Drosophila melanogaster: one gene and its partners. The protein of the gene in region 2 interacts with the protein of the main gene of each other region in a pairwise test. Each region holds a gene or a part of one and is shown on either strand. Other genes may lie near its edges.

The links.
Region 1: the proteins of CG4822 (region 2) and caps interact in a two-hybrid assay, tested with the Drosophila melanogaster proteins (one large-scale study listed by BioGRID).
Region 3: the proteins of CG4822 (region 2) and CG18336 interact in a two-hybrid assay, tested with the Drosophila melanogaster proteins (one large-scale study listed by BioGRID).

What each region holds. Positions count from the first base shown.
Region 1 is NT_037436.4:13,226,579-13,232,635, forward strand, and holds the start of caps (capricious), read left to right. Parts: upstream 1-2,113; 5' UTR 2,114-2,562; intron 2,563-6,057.
Region 2 is NT_033779.5:116,228-124,496, reverse strand, and holds CG4822 (uncharacterized protein), read left to right. Parts: upstream 1-2,742; 5' UTR 2,743-4,464; coding exon 4,465-4,669; intron 4,670-4,942; coding exon 4,943-5,066; coding exon of another isoform or gene 5,067-5,070; exon of another isoform or gene 5,071-5,121; coding exon 5,122-5,209; coding exon of another isoform or gene 5,210-5,227; exon of another isoform or gene 5,228-5,261; coding exon 5,262-5,363; intron 5,364-5,420; coding exon 5,421-5,566; intron 5,567-5,622; coding exon 5,623-6,136; intron 6,137-6,192; coding exon 6,193-6,361; intron 6,362-6,420; coding exon 6,421-6,677; intron 6,678-6,737; coding exon 6,738-7,166; 3' UTR 7,167-7,418; downstream 7,419-8,269. Other genes in the region: CG3164 (uncharacterized protein), read left to right, coding at 1-410, 473-641, 703-803, 868-1,368.
Region 3 is NT_033778.4:11,292,503-11,296,818, reverse strand, and holds CG18336 (uncharacterized protein), read left to right. Parts: upstream 1-2,232; 5' UTR 2,233-2,553; coding exon 2,554-2,569; intron 2,570-2,630; coding exon 2,631-2,899; 3' UTR 2,900-3,043; downstream 3,044-4,316. Other genes in the region: CG42336 (uncharacterized protein), read left to right, coding at 1,649-2,137; CG30033 (uncharacterized protein), read right to left, coding at 4,030-4,109, 4,169-4,271; dare (defective in the avoidance of repellents), read left to right, coding at 3,802-4,013.

The DNA of each region.
Region 1 (6,057 bases), on a different chromosome or scaffold from region 2:
TATCAAAAACTCCTTCAAGGACCTTCTCCAGTGCCACTCAAACTGTAATTAAAGCCAACGCTGCTGCTCATCGACTCTTGAAGCCGTTTGCAATCCGTTCGTTCGCTCAACAATGGGAGTTTAATGTGCGGGCCTTGGGGCATTTTCATCGCATAATCATTTTTTTTTTTTGTGCCCGAACAGGGATCATAAATATGTCGCTGGCACTTGAGGCAGCCTCTCGCATTTATGTCGCTGCACACGGGGAGGAAAACACCAACCCCCTGCCACCCCTTTCCACTGCATTTTCGTTGCAGGTTCTTGAGTGTACGTGTACGTTGCCTGCACTCTCAATTATGTCTTAATTCGTATCTAATGGATATTTTCTGTGTGAATTTTCATGATTAATCGCCGCCCGAGGATGCAGGGGGGCAGCAGCAATCACACTGAAACAAAAATTGCACTTGCGACCATGTGAGAGTGCACTCTGTGCTACTACTTATACTAACAAAAGAATTGATTTTATTTGGACTACAGAATTTTTCTTTCATTATAATAAATTTTGAATTTTAAATTTTTAGACGTGGCCAATACTAATTTGCAGAATATATCGGATATTTTTCTCAGTGTACGTAAAAGGGTGGTTTGCCGACTGCAGTTGTTCACACATGTGTTCACAAAAAGAGTGCAAAGATTGTGGGTGGTGGGGGGCGTACAATGAAACTGCGAGCGATAACTCAACTCCACCGAAGGTTCCCAACTTTCTTTCCCCCTCGATTTTCTTTTTTTTTGAAAATTTGCAAGGCGTTGGCATGGGGTGGGATGAAATTTGCAATTGCTGGGGTGTGGCAGTTCGGCATTAACGGCATATGCATCGTATGTAGGTTTTTACGTTTGTGTGCGTAGACGGCGACGTGTTGCAACTTCCGGTGACGTCGACGTAGTCGCAAAAAGTGATTACGCGGCATTTGTGGTAGCAGCAAACCGGCGACGGTTTTTGCAAACATTTCCAAGAATGCAACCGCATTTGCCGACACCCCCCTCCCCCCTTTCACCGTACAAACACCACCCACTTTTTCGTTGGTAAACAAAAAGCATCTGAAATGCAATTCGCACTTCGGCAGCACATTGGCGCCATCTAGCCGCGCTTAGGCGAACTATGAAAGAGAGCCAGATAACGCGTGTGGTTTTCCGAGAGAGAAAATTGGTGGAAACCCAATCGAGTTGGGAATTTTATCTAAGAGCGAGAGAGTGGTGCCGGTTCTCCGTTCAATTTTCCTCTCTGTTTATCTTTGACTGCTCCATTTGCATTCATTTTAGGCGTTATTGGTGTCTCTGCTGCAACCGCTCCCAAAAAATCAGATTTACATGTCGTTGTTGTTGGTTCTTTTTTATTTATTTATTTTACTTAGCATCGCATCTGATAAGAAAGTTACATATGTGTGCTGGGCGAGCAATGAACTTATTGGAGCCTCTATGGGCAGGGCTAATTGGGACCGGTCAATGTGAGCGGTGAAGGCTAATTAGCTGTGGGCGGCGGAAGTACGACATCTTATTGGATAGAAAATGGGGGGAGATAGGACTAATGGAAAATCAAAGATTTTCTTTTGTTTACGGCTTGATAAGAAATTGTATTAGGCTCTGCAATGAATTTATAGCCAAAACTTTCGTGGGTACTTGATAAAGGGTATGAAAATTTCTTTTATTTCTTTATTGAAAACCTGTATATATCGAACAAAATATGATTGAATGTTAATTCAATCTGGATAACAATACTTATACAATATAACTTTAGATCCTTTCAAAACTCAGTCCTTTGAGATGATATTTTAGTTAGCGTGGTTTCAAACCATCCAGTCTCACTTTATCTGACTCAATGAGAATCCAACTTGAGTCTTGCCGGCTCAGATAAGCCCCGTTATCTGAGCGAGAGAGCATCCCATATGATTTTTGCACAAAAAGCCGAAGTATGCGTTCGTGCTGTTGCACACAATCACACTCTCTTCGTATGTGTATGTGTTTGCCTCGTGGTCTTGCTCTCCCGCTCTCGTGTTCTGTTAGCTCACTTCGGCACTTAACAGCGGCTGAGAATCGAGGTTTTGAAGTTCGTGGCGTACACAGATACAATACAGCGTTAGTTCGAAAAAAATCGTGAACGTGTTTGGACACATTGTGGAGCGCACCGTTATTTCCTTATAGCAGACAGCTCAGCAGATTCGCGCGTGCAAATTCTCACCCTTCTCTTCAACCTCCTCTCCCACCCACCACCACCATCGGTCGGTCGCTGTTGTAGCTGTTGTTGTTGTGCGGGCAACTTGCTTTTTGTGGGCGGGGCACGCGGGTCATCGCAAATAGCAAAATCGTCAATCGTCAATCGTCATCGGCGAAACGTGTGTGCAGAATTAATGAAATGCCCGCGCCGCTTCTTCATCAATGAAAACAAAAAGCGAGGAGACTATCCGCCAAATAGTATCTCAAAGATTTGTAGCTGTGCTTTCGGTTAACGTTGTGTTTGGGCTAACATTTTTGTTTTGACAACAGTGCGTGCTAACAAACTAGCCACGAATTGCCAAAATTATCGCGGTAAGTCCTTCGTTTGGTGCCTAATTATTATTCTGTGCTGTGATGTTACTAAGTTTAGTACTGATATTAATTAGTTTAGTTAATACCTTATATTTACTTTTTTGTTTTTGGTGCGCAGCATTTTAAATATATTTTAATATAGTTAGAAGAAAATACTGATATTCAGTATGAAAAAGAAGAAAAATGGTTTTTAGTGATGGAGAGAATATTGCTATACAACTAGACTGAAATAGGGCTAATTTAGTAATATTTTGATTGATAACCATTGAATTTTAATCAATAATCTAAGCAAATTTACGTTACCTCACATATGAATAACTTTAGAGCATACGCTACATAGCTAAAAAATAGCTAGTTTAAGGCGTAAATTGGTTGTTTTACTATAATTTGTTTAAAATAGTGTGTAAACAGGATAAAATGCATAACTAAAGATTGACCTTATCAGATATTACCGTTACACTTAATGAAGAAGCTCTTTAAGGCCAGAAAAACGCCTTGACAGCAGCATGACATTCTCTTTTCTTTTATTGCTGCTGTTGTTTCAATGTTCGATCGATAAGTTTTATGAGTTTTCGTTGTGAAATTTTGAAATCATTAATTATGTCTCGGGCCGCAGACTCGCTCGGAGTTTCCGTCCAGGGCCAGCCGTCTCAATTTTGGGGTTTCTGTCTGGGGAACAGGTTTCGTTAGAGCGAAAAACTTAAAGAACTTTTCGAGGTTTGTGCGATTCCGGGAACTTGTTAGGTGCTGCCTGGACTCGTGTTTGCTTGCCCCTCTTTATGGAGATGTGGATCTTTATGAATGAACGAGGTGGGGCTCAGTTTGGAGGCTCGGGCAGCTGGCCGACTGGGCGGCTGAGCGGTCCGAATGTCTCGTGTTGTGGGCCTTTCTCGTTGACACTTTTGAGGAATGTCAACTTGGCCCCACTGGCCTGGCCAACTGGGAATGGGTTAGACGTGAGCTGGCGTAAGTCTAAGATGCTGGGATGTACTAAAGTTCGAGGAATTCGAAAGGTGTATACAGTTTGGACCGAACTCAAGAAGACTTCAAGGAAATGGCTGTAGAAGAACAAAAATATTTAGCGGCATTAAACCAAATAAGCTTTGTAACCTTATGGGTTTCAGAGTTACTGTGTATTTATAAACAATATTCCGACATTATAAACTATTTCAATGATGATCATCCCCATAGAAACGATTTTGTATTATTTTAATACGAGCTTATCTTTATGTTGCGCCTTCCACTCTGTGCTTCCATCTTCTATTGGTGACCTTCATTATCTCCATCTGAGAACAACCTCGAGGCGAAATCTTAAAGCAAATCCCCACTCATTAAAGCTCCCACTCTCTGTTGTTATCAGGCCCGAAAACGCCAAGGCCGAAGCCGAAAACTTCCAACCTGCATTAGCTAAGCAGACAACTGAGCAGGGGAAGCTATGTACATAGCTGGGTCTGAAACAGAAAACTTTTTAATTACCAACAGGAAAAAACATTTAAGATAAAAGCCAGGTAATATGCGGGGCAGGTGGGACAGGTCACTCCGCCCCCACACCCACTTTTGCATAAATTGAAATTATGGCAACTGTTTTCAGACTTCAGGATGAAGTAGATTCCGAGTCGAAATCGAACCTTTTACTTCTCACTCACTGACCCGAAGGTATTTATGACCTTCGTAAATAGGAAACCGAAGGAATAAGCAGCAGGTTTTAGCCATCAGAGAGCTACAAATTTTACAGCTTAAATATTTTTTAGCCATTAGATAAACAAATAGAAGGGGCAGAGCGATTGAGTCAGAACCAAAGGTGGAAGAGAAAAGAAAAGAACGAAAATATCTTTCAAGTACAATGTTAGGTAAATATAAACAAAACTTTACGTCTTTCGAGCGAGCTCACACTTCTTTTTACAACCTCCAAGACTTTTGGATGCTGCACTTTGGCTGTTGCTGGTGTTTTGGTTCTTCCTTTTTAGCTACTTAAAGCTTTTAGAGCGGCAGCTAGATGTAATATAAATTACATTAGCTAAGTGCCAGGCGGCAATTAAAAACAAAAAATACTCGTGAAGTTTTCCTCCGCCTTTGTTGTTGCTGATAATGTTGTTAATGATGTTGCGGCAGCATCTTCAGCAGCCCCATCCCATCGGCGGCATCATCATCAGTGGCATCATCATTAAGAACATCATTGCCACCATTAGCAGCATCATTAGAACGTCAACTTAATCAAGGTTAAAAAGCATGTGGCGTGCCTGCCCCAAAAAAGTCGAGGAAAACTCAAGAGATGCGGGAGCTGGCATCCCGCTCTATCTTTCTCTTTTTATGTGTGGTATATGGGTATATGTACATATATATATATATATATCTTCGATTCTGTAATTATTGACGCCGACGATGTCTTCCACGTTAGACATAAACATAAACATATTGCGATGACTGAAATTCGGTAAGATTAGAAAAAGTTATGCAAGGATTGGGCAAATTATGTTGGCTAACATGGGGCAATATTTTTCGGGAGCCTTGTGCGATGTGGCAAGTGTGGTGGTAAACATAAATGGTAGGTAATTGAATAGAGAAAAATTGAGAGCGAAAATGTTGATTAATCGAATAATGATTTATAGCAAGGGAATAGAAAGGGAGCTACCTCACAATGACCAGTATAATCTACCACAAAGAAATAAAAAAAAACTTTAAACCCCGATGATTCAATATTATCAGATTTAGCAAATCATACCACTGATATTTTTATAACCCTTGTTCGTTTTTCACTTTTCAATTTAACCACCATTTGCCAATCCCCCATCATCAAGATAGAATCGAGATTCAGCTGCCTTGACATTTATGATGCCAAAGCAAATACTTGAAACTCTAATAACCCCAGAAAATCACCCCAAATTACAAGTACGAAAATAACTTCCCCCGAATGACCACCATTAGGCCTGAAATCAAAACATTTTACAACAGCAATTATGTTATTTTTTGTTTTTTGTGTTTTGCGCGATCAGAGCCAAAGTCAAAGTAATTTCTATTTTAATAACTAGGCAGCGTGGCCAAGCCAAGTCCATTAAAAATAAATATCTCTAGAGATATGTATATATTTTGCAATTAAATCAGCAACAAACTGCAAATGAACCGAATCGAAAATGCGAGAGAACCAGCTCCATTATATGGGCATTATCTGCCTGCCCATAACTATCGGCTCAATCATAAATTTAATTAGCATAATTGACTCCGCCAGAACGGATGTTCTGTTTTCGATTTGTGTTTTCAAAATTTCGCTCACGTAGTGGCAATTAAAAATGCGCTGGCAGCTTTTCGTTGCCATATGCGCAGTTTCGTCTACCTCTCATCAGGCCAAAATATTGAAGATCAGGTGCGGGAAATGCGAGGAGAAAGGTGTGAGAAAAGCTGGCAACAGCTGGTGGAACGTGCCATTGACACTTTCGAGTGCGAGTTTATAAATATGCCCAGTACTTGCCATTAAAATCGAAATATTGAAATCAAAAT
Region 2 (8,269 bases):
GCAAACTGGTCGATGCTATTGACAACGGCAAGCGGGACGTTCGTTCATCAGCAGACTATGCCGGCCTCAAGGCTCGCAACGATTTGGTAAAGGTGCAAAACCTGAAGGCTATTCTCGATAAGAACGACGCTTCAAGTGTCAGCGGTCGCAAGTACGAGGACAATTTGACCTTGAACAACGGTTTGCTCAACGGCATGGTCAATGATATTGTGAAGGAGGGCAACGTTAGCTCTGCCTTGGTCACTACCAATGAAAGGGGAGATGCCATGATCGATGTGGAGAAGTCCGTAAACTGCACCACTGCCTTGCTTACGGAGGAGATAACATCACCAGAGCGATATCCAACATCGCAGTTTCACCAGTTCTGGGTGGTTCTTAAGCGAACTTTACTCTTCAGTTACCGGGATTGGGTAAGAAAACTTATAATGGTGCTTTTCAGGATTTTAGTAAACATTGCTTCTCTTTATTATAGACTCTTATGTATCTGCGTTTATTTGCCCATCTGTTAGTTGGATTTTTGATTGGGGCACTCTACTATGACATTGGCAATGATGGAGCAAAAGTTTTGAGCAACCTGGGATTCCTATTCTTTAACATGCTTTTCCTCATGTATACATCTATGACTATTACGATCCTATCATGTAAGGAAACCAGTTTGATATTCCTTTCTCTGTAGTTAATATATTATTTTGTGTGTTCTAGTCCCGCTTGAGATGCCCGTTTTGTTGAAAGAAAACTTTAATCGCTGGTACTCGCTAAAGTCCTACTATTTGGCTATATCAGTTGCTGATTTACCGTTTCAAGTGAGTTGCACTCAGCTGTTGAGTAGAGCGAATGTTACTAATACAAAATAATTGTTTCTTTTAGGCTATTTTCTGCGTTATCTACGTGTCGATCGTGTATTATTTCACTTCACAACCTTGGGAGCTATTCCGCTTTTCCATGTTCTTGTCGGCCTGCCTTCTCATTTCTTTCGTTGCTCAGTCCGTGGGTCTGGTGGTAGGCGCTGCAATGAATGTTCAGAACGGTGTCTTCCTGGCCCCAGTGATGTCCGTGCCCTTCCTTCTGTTCTCCGGCTTCTTTGTCTCCTTTGACGCTATACCAGTATACTTAAGGTGGATCACATATTTGTCGTACATACGATATGGATTCGAGGGCACAGCTCTGGCCACCTACGGTTACGGACGGGAGAAACTTAGGTGCTTCCAGACTTACTGCCATTTTAAATCACCTATTACCACGCTGGAGGAACTGGACATGGTTAACGCTAACTTTACACTCGACATTGTGGCCCTAATTGTGATCTTCGTGGTGCTGCGCATCTCGGCATACCTGTTCTTGCGCTGGAAGCTGAAGACTGTGCGATAAGCATATTACATAATTTTAAATGTTGTTTTGGATTTAATAGCTTTCTATGTACGTACTTTATATTGTAGTTTTCAAAAAAGCGTCTTGGGTTTTGTTCTTAATCATTAATCTTTTACAAATTTCTTTTTGTCTAGTTTTTAGTCGCGAAATTCTTCTTTTAAGTGATACAAACGCAAGGAGGTTTCTTATCTTAAATCAGCTTGATTCCAGCCGCATATGTAGTAAAACCAATTCAAACCACTGTTGGAGCACATCATTGATATAAGTGAATCGTATAATGAAATAAGTTATTGAACGTGAAACCAATTTTCTAAATAAAAATAACTGAATAACATTTCCAATTGTATTTACCGAAGGATTTTTGAATGACTTTAAATTAAAAACGAACATGTTTTGTGTCTATATACATTAATATTTTTATTCAAGGTACTTTAAGACCCTTTGGAATTTTTTGTAATATTTTCTTATTACAGGTTTAGAATAAACATTTTTGAATATATACTGTACAAACTACGTGTTCTTGGGGCAAATAAAGATGTCTACCTAAAAAGTTGAAATTAGACAATTTGAGATTATGATACCCATTATTTTTTGTGATCAACGGCATTATCTACTTAAAAGCTCTTGGAGCGCCATCTGCCGGAAAACGAAATCAAGTCGTGCGAGTCGGCCGTTTAAATTCGAATCGCTTGCAGTGGACGACAACGTTTTTCTGGGGCGTCTATTCAAGCAATCAAGCATTTACTTACATACACATAAACCACCGTCGCAAAAATATCTTATTTTCTTAATTTGAAAAAGGTTTTAGCATTGTAGCATTCACCACATGGGATACGAATGCTGTAAATTTCCAAGTGGGATCCCAGATATGAAAACATAAACATCCCGCTGTTTTGTTCACACTATTGCTAGGAGTTTAAAATTTTGCAAATGACATGCCTTAAATTGTTCGAAATTATGGGGACCCCTTCCTATAAATGTGCCTGCTTTAATTTCATTCAGAAATAGTGTTTGGTATTCAATTTTAAAGGAATGTCACTTATAATATTTCGATCCTTAACAAAATCCTAATTGGAAATCGTACTCAAAATTTTAAGCTACTATAATTAAGGTAAGGACTTGACTGAAGCTAAAGCCTGGTCTCTCTTTCTTTTTTATTTGTGAGTGGTGAGTGAGTGGAATCGGTATAAATAGACTGGCCATATCCTTCGAATCGGATTCAATGGGCTGCAAAACAAGTTTTTGATCTTTTATAGCTGAAGCCAGCCTCTAGACTTCTGAAGGGCAGAAGAATTCGGCCCGGGCACTAGACTTCGCCTCTGTAAATCTAGCATTTGCAGTAGCAGTCACTGCCGCAGTCTTCCTGCACTCGCATTTAGTACATATTCGGTCGTCGGTGCAACAAGACGACGCTTCTTCGCTGCTGTGGCGTGGTTGCCGCCATGAGAAAGAGTGAAAAAAGCCAGCGACAGCAGCAACTACAAAAAGAAAGTGGAGTAAGTGCCCCCTATCGCTCTACCGATACACCCGCTGCAGCGCCAGCGTCAGAGCCAGTGAGTGGTGCATTTACGCAGCTGCAAATAGTAGTGTACGCCGGCTGTATCTAACGCGTTCGTTGAACTCGAAGTCGAAAACAACTGCGACAGTGCTTGCAGCACTGCACACAAGCACGAAAGAAGTTTTTGACTATTATTTACCCCGCTTCTGGGTGACACGAGCAAAGACAATTATTGAATCGATTTCTGGGTCAGCCAAGACAGTTGTTATCAGAGACCTTTGGTTGAAAAGTTTTGTATTATTTAAAAACATAAGGATTTATTTACATACCTAATCTTTTATATACATGTACGTGAAATTAATTCGTTGGACTCTTGATGCATGTATCACAGTTCAATATTCTCGCTTCAGTACATTTTACATGCACCATTACTCACAGCACCGGCCAAAATGATTTGCCGGCGAGTCGCATATTGTATACCCTAGACAAGCAAGAAAAAACGTCTTGCTATGAGCAGCATAATACGGCATTCGCAAGACGCTAAACGAAACTGATTTAAACGGTATCAAAAAGTGGCGCCAATGGTGAGGCCGACTCACAATTAAATTTGTATTCATAGACTGACGCTTTCAACAGATAAAGCGGTTCGGTTGCCAAAACATGAGACCCGCAATCAGTCAAAGTAAAAAGAAGATAAAGAGTGAATAATAACGTAAAGATTGCGCATCCGTACTGTCCGCCCGACCGCCTTAAATCTAGTGCCGATCCAAACTTCCGCTATGGGTTCACCCACTCGCTGATAACGCACGAATTTCTCAGAAAGTTCTGTAGTGTTGAAGCTGCATCGGAATAATTGCAAATCGACTGCCCAGTTTCGGTTTGTATTGCCTTTACTCAGCAGCTCGCCATGCCACTTGCTCTTCCCCCATTCCCTGACTGGGTCGGCATATACCCGGACCGTCAGATCTCCGGGCCGTCGTTGAAGTCAGACGACTAGTCATTCGGTCAGAACTCGAGCAGGCTGTCAGTCGTGCATGTACTGTGTACTGCTTTCCATCAATTGAAAATCTGAGTTTGTTTTCGGGCTGCGCTCAGAGACTACGATCGCGCATTTCGTAGGGTAAATGAAATTAATTTAAAAAGTTCTTCGGTCAGTTCGGAATTTGTTTCCAGAACGAAGGGAGGGCGCTTTCCGTGGTCCCAGATACGCGTAAGTAATTTTTAGAAATGCAAATTACCGCTTTTAATTAACTTGAATTGAGGTAGCAAGCAAACGACACATGAGTTGATGATGAGTTTATCAAACTGGTTTAAGCCAAAAAAACGTACTGCCTTCTCTTGTACTGTTAACCAATTAATTTCTAGTGTATAGTGCAAATAAAACTGCGCCTTAAAACGAGGATTCCAGATTTCGAACGAGCACCTTAAAAGGTTATCTTTAAAAGCAAAGCATTATGTGAACGGTAAACAGATCAATTCTTATAAGCGATTTTAGTGCGAAGTGAAATTATTGAATTTCTTATCAAAAAATCACCATTTTCCTTCTCAAGGAGCAATGACATCGATTCAAAACAACAACGAAGTCTAGAAATATTAAAATGGAAACTGCCAGCAGCGTAAAAGGCAGTACAACCTCCCAAATCAGCTCCCTTCAATATAGCAGCGACATTAACGCCGATAGCCTCGAGCCCGATCAATCTGAGGACTTTCAAACAGTCCTCGGCCTCAAGTATTTGCCATCCTGGCCAGCGGTAAATTTGCAGTTTTCGGAACTATGTTATGTGGTTCCCGACCAGACCAATGGTGAGTGTATCAAATCAGCTTATGTCTATTACGGTTGAGTAATTGATAATGAATATATTCGTGATTGATAATGGGGTATTAAGAATGGTAATTGCACATTTTCGAAGTAATTACTGCTTCCACAGCTCGCTTGATTTCTAATGCTGAACATGCACATATTAAATAGCAATTTCCGTCTAATTCCACATTAACGACAATAAATTAATGCCGACATCTTCCCTTACAATGAAACATTAAAATTATTCTTTTTAATATGGTCATCACACCCCACAGCTTCAAAAACAAAGACGATTTTGCGGAGAGTCAATGGAATGTTTCACTCTCACGAACTTACTGCGATTATAGGGCCTTCAGGCGCTGGTAAAACCACACTGCTAAACCTGCTGGCGGGCTTTGGGTAAGATATAACACAAACGACCCCCTTATAATACTCCTTTAATATTTACCGATAGCGCCGTGTGCGAATCCGGCGAGATTTTGGTAAACAACAGTCCGCGAGATATGCGAGTCTTTCGCAAAATGTCTCGATATATAATGCAGGTAAAAGTGGATTACTGAATTGCGTTCCCATAAATATTGGTGTAATTCATAGACTGATGTCCTGGACTCACAGTTTACCGTACTAGAAATGATGATTTTGGCGGCAAACTTGAAGTTGGGAAAAGAACTAAATTTAAAACAAAAGCTAGAAGTGGTAAGATTGATTTTAAATCATGCACTTTGTCGTGTATTTATCTTAACATTTGAGCAGATTGACGAAATTTTGGGAATGTTGCGCCTAAAAGACACCCTAAACACCATGGCTCAAAAGCTATCTGGGGGTGAGCGAAAGCGTTTATGCATTGCCCTTGAGCTGGTCAACAACCCACCTGTCATCTTTCTAGATGAACCTACAACGTGAGTATAAGATAAATATTGAAGTCGAAGAACTAATGTTACCACCAACTCAACAGTGGTTTAGACGATTTATCGAGTTCACAATGCATTGCCCTACTCAAAGTTTTGGCCGCCGGGGGGCGCACTGTGATCTGCTCCATCCATACGCCATCTGCCAAGATCTTCGAGATGCTCGATGCAGTCTACGTTCTAGCCGAAGGCCAGTGCGTCTACCAAGGAAAGGGGTCCAACATTGTACCTTTCTTGAAGAACTTTGGGCTTTGTTGTCCAATAACCTACAACCCGGCTGACTTCATTATCGAAGTTGCTTGCCTTGAGTATGGCGGGTCCTATCACGAGCCAATGGTAGAAGCCGTGGGCAACGGCAAAGTTGCGCGATGGAGTCCTCCAGCAGTGGAAGGTGAAACAACAACAACCAAAACCGACACCACATCGGGGGCATCGTCGTTTTACGAAAGGGATCAGTTTGACGAAGAGATTAGCCCAAAACTTTTGGAGGCCAAATGTAGCTGGTGGCTACAGTACAAGCTATTGCTTGTGCGTATGCTAATCCAAATGTGGAGAGATAAGGTGAGTGCACTTAGAAAACGACGTAGAAAGGCAATGTAATTTTATTTTTTCCGTAGTCGTACATCAAGCTTAAGTTCTACATGAACATCGTTCTTGCTTTACTGGTGGGTTCGCTCTACTTTGGTATGGGAACCTCGGCCTCTAAAGCGCTTTTTAACTTCGGTTTCATGTTCACCATTGTGATAGCATACCTCTACCTTCCTATGATGCCTGTGCTCTTATATTGTAAGTACTATATTTTAACCTCAAGCAGTAATTCTTAATAATAAATACCTACATTTAAGTTCCCACGGAAATCAATCTGTTAAAAAGGGAGTACAACAACCAGTGGTACCGTCTGAGCTCCTACTACGCAGCAATGGTTACCTCAAAGCTACCATCTATGTTTATTTTGGCCGTTATTTATCTATCCATTGTGTACTTAATGTCCAGCCAACCACTTGAATGGTTCCGCTTTGCCATGCTATTTACAATAGCTTTCGTAACGGCCCTAACTTCCGACAGTTTTGGCTTGTTGATCTCCAGTAGACTGAGCTTAGTGGTAAGCGATTTGGCGCACATTTATTTTTAATATATCCTGATTAGTTCACTTATACTTTAGAATGCAATGTTCATGGGGCCAGTTCTCGCCGTGCCGCTGATCCTGCTTTCCATTTACGGCATTGGGTATGGCGGAGGAACATACATATCCCCTCTTATGAGGTTTCTCATGCATCTTAGCTACCTTCGCCATAGTATGGAAGGCCTAGTCGCATCCTTGTACGACTACGGACGCGCCGACACAATTTGCGAAGACACGGAAATCTTTTGCTCATTTAAAAAGTCGAAAGTTTTGTTAGCCTTTTTAGGATTCGAAAACATGCACTATTTGTGGTCTCTATCTTGCTTGATGAGTTTTTATTTGCTGTTCACCGTAGCAGCATACTTTATGATTAGACTGCGACTGAAACACTCCGAGGTCAGCCCCATTTTTGCATATGTCATACAGCTGTTAACGAAATATTTTAACTTTACTTCGTACAATTACTAACATTAACAACATGGGCGGTTTGACCTCGGTGCTAGAAAAATTATTTTAAGCGGTATTTCAGGGGACAGTCTTAACCTCCCATATTATTTATGGGCTTCAATAATATTAATAAACTATCAAAGTGATATTGGATTCTGAATAAAAGTTTATGATCAAGAATACAAATATAATCAAGGGAACAATAAATTACTATAATTCGATCATATTGTTAACAAGGCAGAAGAAACACTACGAATAAATTATTAAGTACGCATAAAATTGTTTTCACCAAATATGTAAAAAATATTAGTGGGTTTACTTTTTTATGCGATGGCGTAAGTTTATATGTATATCATGGAAATATTAAATATAAACAAGAGAGAATACTATAGTCGAGTTCCCCGAATATCAGATACCCCTTACTCAGCTAGTGTAAATGCGGACGCGAAATTTCATAATTTTTCTGGGTGTGGCTGTTTTGGGCGGTTTTAGGGAGTTGCAAAAAGTTTTTTAGAAAATCGATCTATCGATTTTTACAAGACTAATCAAAAATGAAAAAATTTCAACACATTTTTTAAAATTGTGTAAAATTTTTGAGTGGGCGTGGTAACAAAGGTCAACAAATATCTGTCTCTAGAATCTGTGTGCTGAATCTCAACGTTCTAGCTTTTATAGTTCCTCGACGTTCAAACGGACATGTCTAGATCGACTCGGTTATTGATCCTGATCAAGAATATGTATACTTTATACAGTCGGAAACGTTTCCTTCTGCCTCTTACATACTTTTCAACGAATGTAGCACACCCTTTTACTCTACGAGTCACGGGTATAAAAATATATAGATGTAGATATGCTTCAAATTGCATAAGAGTTAGAATCAAGTCTTGCCCAAGATTAGAATTTAGGATTGAGTTAAAGATCTGCGCCGTTCGTTACCAAACTCTATCTGCCTTTAGACTAATTTTAAGTCAGAACGGCAAAGTATGACTTCGCCTGTTCCCTTGATTCACTTTAAAGTATTCAAATTATTTGGTAGCTCTATCAATTGTGATATGAGCCGTCACAATAAAAACCGACAAAGTTAATTATGGAAATTATTTGAACAACTGCCGTCGCTGTGGATT
Region 3 (4,316 bases), on a different chromosome or scaffold from region 2:
TTCGAATTTCCAGCATCTCTATTTTGAACATTGCTAGCGTATTTTTGCAGAGATCTTCAAGCAAAACATATTGGTTCCAAAAGTAACTTAATTAAAAAAGCCATTTCTAAATGAGCGTTGTATATGTTTTATAGGTAGAAAGATTAGAAGTGTTATCTTGATATAACATTTATATTAGCTGAAACATTGAATTCCAATTCTAGTGCTTGATATTGCAGAAATTAATAAAAGATCTATAAAATCAGTTCGCGATGTTCGTCTTGAACAATTCAAACTGTAGACGTTTATATGGTGGCCATCTTGTAACATTGTAGCCATCTATCGCTCGCGAATGGGACGGCACTCTTTACTGGGGTTTTGTCTTTATGTACTCGTGTGTCCGGCACTGATTAGTGGCTCTCCCTTATCGCATATGCACACATATGCTCTCCGCAATGCCAACTTCTTGCGATCACCTTTGAAAATATGCTGACGAAGGCAGGAGGCAAAACGAAAAGCGCAGCGAAAAGTTAACTAGTGGGCATATCTGGGAATAATGAAATACAAGCGACTGATTACACACGAGTGGCGGCTTATAATTATATTGATTTTAATATAAGTTTTAGAGAGACTCATTCAGTCCTCCCAAACAGCAGAAGCCGGAGCACGTAAGCACCGGCGATCTAGCGCCAAAATTAGTTAATATTGGAAAGTGTGCGATTTGGGGGGGATTAAATATCGTAGTTTATGTGATTTGTACAATCGTTATTATCTCTGCATGCCGCGTGTCAAACTTGTGTTATAGATAATCAAAATCCATTTTCGAATTCGATTCGTTTGTTTTGCCACGTTGTTTGTTTCTGTGATTTTGTTTGCCCCCCCAATAGCATGCTGAAATGCAGAAAGTAGAACCATAAACCGAATACCATGATTTCCTATATACCATCCATTCAGACGCGAACCGCTAAAAGCCAAAGAGCCCACAGAACCCAGCCCGTAAATTAAAGCCCCAAACAGAGATTAGATCATGGCTGAGGATCCGGTGAACCAGCAGGCATTCGCTGAGGACGTGGCAGCTGCCGCTGCGGCTGGAGGAGCCGGCGGTTTTGCCGGTCCCGAGCCCGGACATCCCGACTTTAAGATGCCCAGTGCCGAGGAGATCTGGAAGCTGGTCGAGGGCATGGAGGGAATTTCGGACGACGAGCGAGCCGAGCTCCGCGAGAGCATCTTTAACCCGAAGCCGCCGTCGCCGGAGGACTTCATGCGCCAGTACGGGCATCCGGGCCACAGTTCCCGGGAGTACCTGGTGTTCTTCGTGATGCTGGCCCTCATACTCATTGTCTTTGGTAAGCGTCCTCCGGAACGAGCCACTAACGAGTCGTATAACCCTTATCGGGCGCGATATACGCACCCACCTGGGTTTCTGCTTAAAGGGCGATAAGGTTTTAGGAGGCGGCTATGTCGAAGCACTCACTCACTCGCTCACGAGCCACAGCTAGAATGTTTGCTTCGTTTAAAAGCGTTCGATTTTTGATAAGATAACCAGTGGTAAGCGTAGGATCCACCGCAGACATAGGTAGAGTGGAATCCAAAGAGCAGTATTTGCCAGAGACCCATGCCGGGCTGTAGTTGACACACCACTTAGCCCCTTTTCCGAACAACCCAAAACATGAGTTGGTCGGGTTCCAGTGACGAGCTCGGGGTTATTGAGCAGCTGAAAAAGTCCGTGGAGTCGATCGTGGCCAAAACTGGGCCCAGCAGCAAGTTCTCCAAGGATCTCGTCCAGCGGATCGGCGAGATGCAGAGCAAGCTGGAGTCCCTGGCCGAAACGGATCGGCATGTGTTTCTCGCCGAGATGAAGGACAAGTTCCAGCAGACGATTGGCAGAATCGAGGAGCGAATAGTGCAGCACGCCCATTTCGCACAGACCTACTCCAGTTCCATAGTGTCGGCAGTGATCTTTCTCTTGGTCTCCATATTCGGTCTCAGTTCCCTTGATCGCATAATGTATCAACGTCACCTTACTAACCGTCTCCCTTCTTTCCGCATTACAGCTCTCTTTGGCTACAAGCTGTACAAATCCCTGACGGAAAAGGAGCTCAAGAAGCAGGAGAAACTGAAGAGCAAGCAACAGAAGAAGGCCAAGAAGTCAAACTGAAGGAGATGGAGGCGAGGATATCATTGACGTAGTGCACTTTCCGGCCCTGAGACCTTCCATCTTGTTAATCAATACAATCGCCCTGTAAATGACTAAATCATAAACCAGTAAACGTAATAAAATAAAACGTACCCCATAACTCTTTTAAATGCCACGGTAATTGTGTTGTTACGACGAGTCGAATTAATTGCCATTAAAATACGGCATCAGGAAATGCAAATCGGTGTCGTGACCTAACTTGTTGCTGCCATCTAGGCAATCCGTCCAATCCTGGCCTCCGTTGTCATGGGAAACGGGGTCGTTTTGTCGAAGCTTCTCCTGTCAGGCCAGCTATTAATAGTTAAATTCAGTTTCCAGTTACCCAGTTAAGCAGCAACACTCGGAAAGGATCAACAATTTTTGCGGAAATAAAAAACATGTCCTATTCCAGCCGTAAGTTAAAAGCTCAACCATGACTTATCTATTAATCTAATGTGTCAACATGCCCTTCTAGGATTTGGTTTCGACTTCCATCTGCCGGATGAGGGATGGTGCTACCCGAAGAACGACATGCATTTCATCCGCAGCGCGGAATGGGTGCCCGTGGAGAAGGCAGGCGTGGGCCGCTCATTCGCCAATCCCAATGGCGTGATCTATCCGCGGGTGGTAGGCATGATTCCACGCTACGGCGGCCACGTTCCGGGCAACAAATTTCGTGTGGGCAACACCTATGGCCGTTCCACCATCGACGCCAAGCGTCATCTGGCCCTCAATCATGATTGAGGACCGAGTTATCGGAACACTCACTCACCATTAGCCAATCAAATTCGCTGTGTTACGCTTACAGAAGCACCCGAAATAAATCGTATCCAGTAGAAGCCTGTAGAAAATGGCAAATAGAAATAAAATCATACAAATTCAAATGTCCAAGAAAAGCACATTTAATTTATGATGGCTTTTTCGAGCAATAAAATTAATTAAACTTTAGGTCACAAGATAAGAATATATTCGTTATGGTACACAAGGTGCCAAAAACACTTTTCTCCTAACAAATATCAAGAAAAGTAACTATAATTATTGATCGCACGCGAAAAATTTTAAAATAAAATCTCAAAAAGTATTTATTTCATTTATTATTTGACTTTTAGTACATTTATTACAACATTTCTGTAAATGCTTCAATATTTTTTTATAATAATAAATACTTCTTGTTAATTTTCAATATTTTTAGAAATGAAAGGAGTGATATGTATATTTAAACGCCTTATGAGAGTATCAAGTATCAAAAAGGCGCGCAATTTAAATTCTTGCTCCGCTGCAACTGTCTGTATAACAATATTAAAACATCCTTACTTTCCTAGCTTTCTATTACTAATGTACTGTCGGTGCTTGGGGTCATATATTTTTAGATTTTTCATAGGAATTTTCATCTCAGAAAAATTAAATTAAACCGAAATCACGTAGTGTTACCATAACGCAATGAGAGCAAATACTCTGTTTTGTTTGGATTCCGTTGGGTATTTTGGGGACTGCTGGCGAAAGTCTTTCGAGAGATAACGAGTAAATAAGAAATCATCGTTAGCAAAAAACTTTTTTGAGAAGATCACCTAGCAAACCGACTGATTATCTGTAAGATACGAAAACGAGCTGCTTTCCCAGTAGCAGAGATCGGCGACTGATCCACGATGGGCATCAATTGCCTTAACATCTTCAGACGTGGCCTCCACACGAGTTCCGCCCGATTGCAGGTGATCCAGAGCACCACGCCCACCAAGCGGATATGCATCGTAGGCGCCGGACCCGCCGGCTTCTATGCCGCCCAATTGATCCTCAAGCAGCTGGACAATTGCGTGGTGGATGTGGTCGAGAAGCTGCCGGTTCCCTTCGGACTGGTGCGGTAAGCAGAACAATCTTTATAAGGCGGTGCTGTTGGCTGCCAGGCCAAAGCCAAATATTGGACCCACTACGGAGCGGAAGATGCCAGTGAAGTATGCTGAAGAGATCGACATGTGTGTAATCCTTGCCAGAAATCCAGGGGTAATGTAAACATACCTCCCACCTGGTCAAGACTCCACAGGGGATTGGCTGCAATCAGTGACGGAGTGATGATCACCAAGAGACACAAGCTGAGTGGATTGCCGCCTAGCACCTGCATCTTGGAATACAAACTGTGACAACCACTCCGAAATCAAATGCTTAT